Linked DNA regions of Oryzias latipes. The protein of the gene in region 1 purifies or fractionates together with the protein of each later gene. This does not show direct contact. Links are inferred from orthologs where the notes say so. Each region holds a gene or a part of one and is shown in the gene's direction. Other genes may lie near its edges. The genes, in order: obsl1 and calcium/calmodulin-dependent protein kinase kinase 2.

Region 1 (3,818 bases):
TGTGAGGTTTCCCATCCCCTCGCAAAGGTATCCTGGTTTAAAGATGGCAACGGCCTTGAGGTGATGGAAGGCCTCAACATCCAGGCAGAGGGCAATATGCGGAGAATCGTGATCCAGTCTGCTAATGCGTCACACTCTGGAGTTTACACTTGTCAAATGCCCGGGGACGTCATCACTTTTAATGTAGACGTTGCAGGTAAGAAGACACTTTTGGTAAATTGCAACATGTGTCATAGCTTAAATTAAATATGTTTTCCTCCTATTGGTTGATTTAAAAGACCCACTCTGATCAAAATAAAAAATAAAATGTGTTTTTCAATTTTTTTTTGGCATTTTCTGATGACAGACACAGTATATAAATAAAATTAAGATTAGAATTGCTTTTCTGTGTATTTGACAAAAAAATGCAGTTTGAAAAACAACATACTTGTGACATAGAAAATACTCCATGTTCTCCAAATAATCCATGTTCCTCTGTGTTTTCCCTCATCTGAGCGGGCATCTGGCTCAAAACTATACAGCTGGGTAGCTCCTATGTGCCATTTTTTTTTTTGCACCGCTGATGACACGTTGAGGGTTGTAACGCGCTGTAAACTAGCAGGAAAGCATGTAAACAGAGAGCTCCCAGCAACGGGGAGGGGAAGGGCGGCAGGGTTGCTCTGTACAGATGGTCCTGCCCACACTCAGAGTCAAATTTCTAATCAACTACTGCCGTTCTGCAGACACTGTGACAAAAGTCTTTTTTTTTTTAAAAAACAGCATTACCACGCTTTTACAATTGATCAAAAGATGATCGGAGTGGGACTTCAATTGAAGTGAAAAATCTTATCAAAGTGTTAATTGTTCAAAAATATCAACAAAATGTCACTGTGTGGAGTCTTGGAACTTCATATATAAACTTTAATCAAATGAAGTATAGAAAAGTTTCAATTTGAGGTAGTACCTTGTATTTGGTAGCTTCCTCCTGTATTTCTTCAGGTCCCCCTGTAGAATTTACTCCAGTGCAGGAGGAGGAGCTCATTAAGAGCAGCATGGAGCTGGACCCCGTGGTGCTGCTGTGCCATGTCTCCAGAGAGGATGCTGAAGTCAAATGGTAAGCAAGACGTTCCTGCAGTCTAGATGACAGTAGAAGGTAGAAAATGTTCAGAAAACTTTACATATAGAAAACAACAACAACAACAAAAACCCCTGAATGGATTGCTTTAGGCATAAAAACGGTCAGGAGGTCCAACCAAGTGACAACATAACTCTCCAGGTGGAAGGAACCATGAGGAGACTAATTATTCGCTCTGCAGAAAGCTCAGATGCTGGGTGCTACACCTGCCAGGCAGGAAAGAACAACGTGGTGTTTACCGTCAATGTCAAGGGTATCGCCTCTTGTATTCACATTATTAACTGTCAATCCAGAGTAGGAATCAAAAGACATTTTTCATCTTCCAGAACCTCCAGTTATGATTGTGGAACCTAAAGAGGATGTAGTGATGAAGATCTACATACCAGAGGAGATAAACTTGCAGTGCGAGTTATCTCGCTCCAATGGGAAGGTGCGGTGGTTGAAGGATGGCGAGGAGGTGCGGGATAATGACTTAATCCAGCTGGTGTCAGAAGGTCCCTACAGAAAACTGACCATCCTGCGCAGCTGTAAGGAGGACAGCGGGGAGTACATCTGTGAAACCAATGGGGACTCCGTCTTCTTTCAGGTTACTGCGACAGGTAAAAGTAAAGCCAAAGTAAGGAATGGCTAAACTAGGTTTCAATGATTAGTGTTGAATTTAATTTTAGAAATTTGCCTTGCAGAACCACCTGTAAGAATTATTTCTCCTAGCGATTCAGAAGTAGAAGTGACACACTTGGCGTCAGAGAGGCTGGAGCTATGCTGTGAGATCTCCAAAGTGGATGCCCCAGTTAGGTGGTACAAAGACAATCTAGAAGTAGAGGAAGGTCCTAACTTGATCCTGGAGGTGGATGAAGCCAAACGACTACTAGTTATACCCTTAGCGACAGTGGAGGATACAGGAGAGTATGTTTGTGACACTGAAGACGACTCTACGGTCTTCTTGGTGACTGTTACAGGTGAAATAAGGGATTTTTCAAATTTAAAACAAGACAAAAAGTTTTTTCCTTACATTTAATTTCTAAAAACTTTTTTTTTAATCTAGAGCTGCCAGTCACACTTTCTCGACCCAAAAACATACCGGAAAAACTGGTTAGGGCAGCAGGTAAACCAATTGTTTTGGAGATTGAAGTGTCGCGGCCAACAGCAGAAGTCAAATGGTGGCTTGATGGTAAAGAAGTAAAGCAAAGCAGTAACGTCACCATAACGGAAGATGAGTTCATCCGTCGACTAACCATTCACTCGCCTACTCCAGAAGATTCTGGGAAATATACCTGCTACACAACCGATGATAAAATTGACTTCCAAGTTAAAGTTTTAGGTAAGGATGTCCTTGCAAATATTTTCCCTGGTCAATGAACAGTTTTGAGACTTTGATCTATTTCTTCCTCAGAGCCACCTGTGTTGATCTTAAGAAAGTCGGAGATCAACACAAACCTGGAGTTTTTGGTTTCAGATGATATTGTCCTAGAGTGTGAGCTCTCCAGGGAAAACGCTAAAGCCAAGTGGTACAAGGATGGTGTTCGTATAGAGGGGGATGAAAGGTTCTGTGAGGAAGAAGAAGGAGCGTTCCGCTCACTTGTCATCCTCAATGCTGAACTCACTGATTCGGGGAAATACCTCTTGGATGTTGGAGACGACAGTATCGGTTTCCAGGTTTCAGTAAAAGGTGACGACTCAGCTGTTTGAGGAAATTTCTTAAAACAAAACTACTATAGCTCCAATAACTCTTCTTCTCGTAGAGCCACCCGTGACCATTGTAGGAAACTCATATGACCCTGATCACCAGGAGATGGTGGCAGGGGATGACCTTATACTCGCCTGTGAAGTGTCCCGAGCCAGTGCCCCTGTTAGCTGGTACTGTAATGACAAACTGCTCATCTGTGATTCCCGCACATCCATTGAAAGCTACGGAGCGGTGAGAAAAATTATTATCTCCTGCATCCAACCGTCAGACTCTGGAAAGTATATTTGCGATGCCATTGACGATAAGATGATCTGCACGGTCAGGATTCAAGGTACCAAACTCAAGAGTGGGTCTCTAAGCTCTAGACAAAAGAAGCATGAAGTCACTTGAAATTGATTTCGTCTTTTTTGTTTAAGAGCCTCCCGTAACATTTGTAAACAAGGAGGAGGATAATGTCGTGACAGGTTACGAAGCAGAGAGTGTGACCTTGACAAGCTACGTGTCCAAGGAGACTGCTCACGTACGTTGGCTTAAAGATTGGACACCTGTCGAGGGCGAGCGATTTTGTGCTCTCACGGAGGGTCATCAACGCACTCTCACCATTGAGCCCTTGAGACGCTCTGATGCCGGAGAATACACGTGTGATGCCAACACCGACCAACTCCACTTTAGTCTGCTGGTCAAAGGTAAAAATTATGTTATCCAACATAAGTGATGGAAAATGTAAGATTTAAATTCCCCCCTTTTGTGTTGGAGAAATGAGAATCAAGTTTCTAAGGCCGCTGCGAGACACTGTGGCTCACGCCGATGGCATGGTGACCCTACGATGTGAGGTGTGCAAACCAAAAGCGGATGTGCAATGGCTAAGAAATGGTGAGGAAGTGGTGCCAAGCAGGAGGTTCTCCATCCGGGCAGATGGGGTTGAAAGAAGTTTGACCATCCACCGTCTAACCCGAGAGGACGCGGGCGAGTATACCTGTGAGTCCAGAGATGACCGGACCTCTGCAGTACTGACAG
Region 2 (4,499 bases), on another chromosome or scaffold:
ACTCTAAAGATAAGTGTGAAGGCTTTAACAAAACGCTAAATATTCTAAAACGTATATTCTGTTAATAATTGTAGATTTCTTATTAATCAAATGACAAATCAAAAAGGTTGTTAGAAATTATTTTAAGGGATTAAATGAAGTATCTACAAATGTGTTTTCAAATAGAGAACTGCATTGCCAAGTTTAACAGATAACTTAAAATGTTAACCTGCATTCCATTGAACACTGTAAACGTGTATCAAGCCATTTTACGAATCTAAGACCGGAACCATTTATTTCTATGTCCCAACAGATGTCCAACATCACAGTAACCTATCGTGACGGGCGGGTTGCCCAGCTGGAACAAGTGTACATTCGTGGCAGCAAGATCCGCTTTCTGATCTTACCAGACATGTTAAAGAACGCTCCAATGTTAAAGAGTATGAAGAACAAGAACCAGGGTTCTGGAGCAGGAAGAGGCAAAGCGGCCATTCTGAAAGCACAAGGTGAGTGGTTCCTAACCAATGCTGATAAATGGTGTGTCCACTTTTCCTTATTCTTGGTACACCCTGCTTCCTGAATGCTGTTTTTTTTTTTTTTTTACTGAATTATTTCTGAATTTGTTGTCTCCCTTTGCAGTGGCTGCAAGAGGCAGAGGTCGTGGTGGAATGGGAAGAGGCAACATTTTCCAGAAGAGACGATAGCTTTTCCTTTTCAATGTTTTTATTTTTTCTCATGTCGTTTACTTGAATGACTTGTCTGTTATTTGCAATCTTGTCTTTGCAAGTTAGTTCTTGAATTTTTCTTTTTTTTTTAAACAAAAATAAAAGATGTTTCAAAATGTCTTAAATTAATATCCCTTTTGTCTTGTTTTTATTATTCCTGTACTTGTTTGACATGCTGACTATCTAATTTCTTTTTTATTTAAAAGCAGTACATTTTTCCGTTCAAGGTGCAAGTTAGATTTCTTGAGCAGAATTAGTTTTTAAACTTTTAAAAGTAAAGTAAATTTGGTAGTTTGAAAAAAAAAAACTAGCTTGCTGTTTGCATTTTAGAAATAACTGCAAAAGCTCAAATATATGAATAACGGAGGTAAAAATATTTGGCTTTGCAAATGTCAAATAACTTTTTTTAACTTTTGCATTAAAACGATTTTAAAAAGATTAGAAAGATGCTCTTTATAGCAGTTTTTTCCCTGTGTAAGGTTCAGAACCCTAAAAAAATCTTTGCCTTTAAAAATGTATCCCTAAACAATAACTAAAATAAAAAGCTTCATAAACTTGACCCCCAACCCCCCTTCATAATATCACAAATATAGCCCCAAAATATTTTTAATTCAATCAGTATCCATACGTTTTTTTTAATTCTCCATTTCCTGGAATTCTATTAACGCCAGCAAAAATTTTTTAGATAAAATGCAGATAAAATAGGAAATGTCTGTTTTACTTGACAACACAAGGGGGAGTGTTCCGGCTACCAAAGTATTAGTAGAAAAACCATGAAGTGAATTTTATGGAAGTGGCGAGATAAACGAAAGGGTGAAAAGGCGATTTCGAAAGCCTTAGTGGATTTTCAGTGGATATTCGGCTAAATCTGAAAACACTGTCGCCTTCCCTGGAGCTCAGGACCTGAGCGCTTCAGCTCGCTTCATCCATCATAACATCTGCTACGCCTCCTCAACAGCTAGCTAGCTCGCAGAAGCTAAACCTTAGCTGAGGAAAAAAGGCGTTTCAATATTCCGGCTTACGGGACAGAAATTCCACTTCAAGGTAAGATTTAAAACAAACCTTTTATTTTGTTGCTATGTTTTTTTTAAGTGTCAATGTTTTGTGGTAAACGTCAGAGTCGCGCCGTCTCCCTTGACGTGTCCAACATCTGTATTTTGACAGATCATGAAGCAGGTGCTAATGCTAGCGCAGCTGCTCCACTTAAAGTCTGCGACAGTTAGCTTACTAGTTCCCCAAAACAACAACACTCTGTTTACTTTCTGACAGAGAAAATACATATATAAATAATAAAATATGATTTTTAACAGGTAACCTAAATATAAATTTCCTGTTTGAGGTGTCATTAAGTAAAGATGTAAACATTGCTACTATTATAGCTAAGTAAAACTCGTTAAAGTCAACAGTTATTTATTAGGACTTTTTAGTACAAAACAATATTTTGGTGGATTTAAAGTTTAATATTTATCCACAATTACACAATTCTGTAGTGAAAAAAAAAACCAAACTGTAAGCTAAAATAGAATAATCTTTCCTGTTTCTATTATTTTTTATTTAATTAATGTGAAAATCCAATACATTGAATCTCAAAACATGTTTGTGGAGAAAAACCTGTTTAGGTAAACATGTCTTGAAACTTACACTGAAGAGATTTAAAAAAGTTATAGTTTCCTCAAATATATTTTTGAAAAGGTCTAAAGCTTTTTAATTAGGGTTAAACAAAACCTTATACGAGTATCACTTATATATATAATATATATATATATATAACTTCTCTTTGCTCTACACTTTTCCAAGTTTTTCTCAAAATTAGCACACGAGCAGAAAAAATAAAAATATTATTGAAATGACTCCCAACCGTTTGCTCCAACTCCATTTGCTGAGGTGAAAGGCAGCACTGTAATCGATGTTATTTTAAAGCTCAATAAATGTTGAAAAGTGAGACTGGCAATTACTGCCATTATTTTGGAAACCAAAATGTTGATTTCTAAATATAAGTGCTACTTAAACATTTTATGAGGATTTATTAAGATTGGCCAACTTGTTGTTCCAAGATGGTATTCGCACTTTGTTCATATTTTGTTTTAAAATGAGCCATTTCCACTTTTACTCTAGTTTTTTTTAACTACAATTAGGTTAATAAAAACCTTTAAAAAAAAACCTAAACCATGTGCTTATCTAGCAATAAAAAACATTATCGGGTTGTTTACGATTCAAGTTGAAGTAATTCCATCAAACAGCCTTTTTCAATGCTTGTGGGGAATTCATTGTTTCTAAATTCTGTTGTATATTTGATATATTGTTAAGTAAAACTTCCTTGGTGCATGGATAGATAATTTTACTACTTTCTGGGGATTTTCTTCTTAAGATTAGTGTTCTTCTCCTCCTTTTGCAGTGTGAGAGCTTTGCTTCCTAAACCCACATGTGCTCTCAGAATTACAGCCTTATTACTGCAGTGTTCTTTTAGTCTTCTTTTGGAAAAAACTGTGTAAAGGTTTAAAGGGAGCTGTGGGAAAATAAGTGTGAATTTTTTACAGACCTTTCTCATCTTTTTAAGTGGGAGTTTTTTGTAGGGTAAAGATTTGTTTGTATTTGCGTTACATCAATCGTTTATTTTAGATTTTACAGTAAGCCGGTTAGGCTAAATTTGGACAAACATGATTTTGTCAGACTAAATCTCACTGTAGATCAGTCATGGATATTCATAATATGGGCAATACAGAGTTCTTTTTTTTTCATCTTACTTATAACCAAATCAGAAAATGCAATTTCTGATGTAAATGAAAGTGTGTATTGCTGCATGACACAATCCTGAAGCGGATTCTACATGAAGAAATAATGGTGGTGCTTCAAAACAACCGATACGTGTTCAATAAACTGCTTTTTTAAAAGGGGTTCCTCACCCGCGTGGACAGTTCTTAAACATCCTCAATGTGCAGCACTGCACATGCATGTTTGAAAGTTCTGCAGTAATGAAATCAGCATGATTCTGTGTAACAGGATGTAGCACTCCTATATTAGGATGACACTGCTTTCCAGTTGTTGTTTTTTTGGAGGGAGTTATAAAGTGCTGGAAGCTCCAGGATGTCTAGGGAGCTGACCACAATCATCTGTGTCCATCTCAGTTGTAATGCATGAGGATTGGACGAGCAGAAGTGGATAAACTGCAAGCAGCAATGTGCTCAACATGAACATAAAATACATCGTTTTTTATTTTATTTTAAGTTATTCGATTCTAGTAATCACTCTGCATTATATATATATTGATTCAAAAACAGATCCTGTACTTATATATATATAAACAAGTTAAGTTCTGAAAAAAAAAAACATGTTCTTGTTTGAAAGCAAACAATTCATTAGTGACATAAATGTATGTATCTTTATTGTTCTGGCTGATCTGGAGGTGAAAGAATGGATGTTTTTCTATCCGCCTTGTGTGTGTGTGTTAATGCCTCAATTAAGTCAGGAGATGAAGGATGACAGTGACATCCATCCCTGCACTACCAGGAGCTTATCGCTCACTCAGCTCTGCAGACGCATTTGCCCCGTTGATCTTTGAATGAAACCAGGGATCCTCCTCTGTTCCAGATGGCATTGTATTGGTATGTCTGTAGGACTGAGTCATTGTTGCTATTATTTCCGTGTATTGGCCCCCACAGGCTCTAATATATCCTTCCTGTCAGTCCAGACTTAACAAAGGTTGGATCATGTGATTTTTGTTATATCAGAAGCATAACGGGACTTTGCAGTAACAGACTTGGCCGTCTTTCTTCATGATGCTACATCAAAACTGGT

Evidence for each region.
Region 2: the proteins of obsl1 (region 1) and calcium/calmodulin-dependent protein kinase kinase 2 purify together in Homo sapiens (affinity purification with mass spectrometry; 4 studies listed by BioGRID and IntAct, with this or other methods). This does not show direct contact. The link is inferred for Oryzias latipes from reciprocal best matches to the Homo sapiens genes OBSL1 and CAMKK2.

Annotation. Positions count from the first base shown.
Region 1 is NC_019860.2:13,810,580-13,814,397, forward strand, and holds part of obsl1 (obscurin-like protein 1), read left to right. Parts: coding exon 1-196; intron 197-978; coding exon 979-1,093; intron 1,094-1,206; coding exon 1,207-1,367; intron 1,368-1,440; coding exon 1,441-1,713; intron 1,714-1,797; coding exon 1,798-2,073; intron 2,074-2,159; coding exon 2,160-2,435; intron 2,436-2,507; coding exon 2,508-2,783; intron 2,784-2,856; coding exon 2,857-3,132; intron 3,133-3,217; coding exon 3,218-3,487; intron 3,488-3,557; coding exon 3,558-3,818. UniProt on the Homo sapiens protein: Core component of the 3M complex, a complex required to regulate microtubule dynamics and genome integrity. It is unclear how the 3M complex regulates microtubules, it could act by controlling the level of a microtubule stabilizer.
Region 2 is NC_019870.2:16,124,986-16,129,484, reverse strand, and holds the start of calcium/calmodulin-dependent protein kinase kinase 2, read left to right. Parts: upstream 1-1,417; 5' UTR 1,418-1,748; intron 1,749-4,499. Other genes in the region: snrpd3 (small nuclear ribonucleoprotein Sm D3), read left to right, coding at 293-485, 619-683. UniProt on the Homo sapiens protein: Calcium/calmodulin-dependent protein kinase belonging to a proposed calcium-triggered signaling cascade involved in a number of cellular processes. Isoform 1, isoform 2 and isoform 3 phosphorylate CAMK1 and CAMK4. Isoform 3 phosphorylates CAMK1D.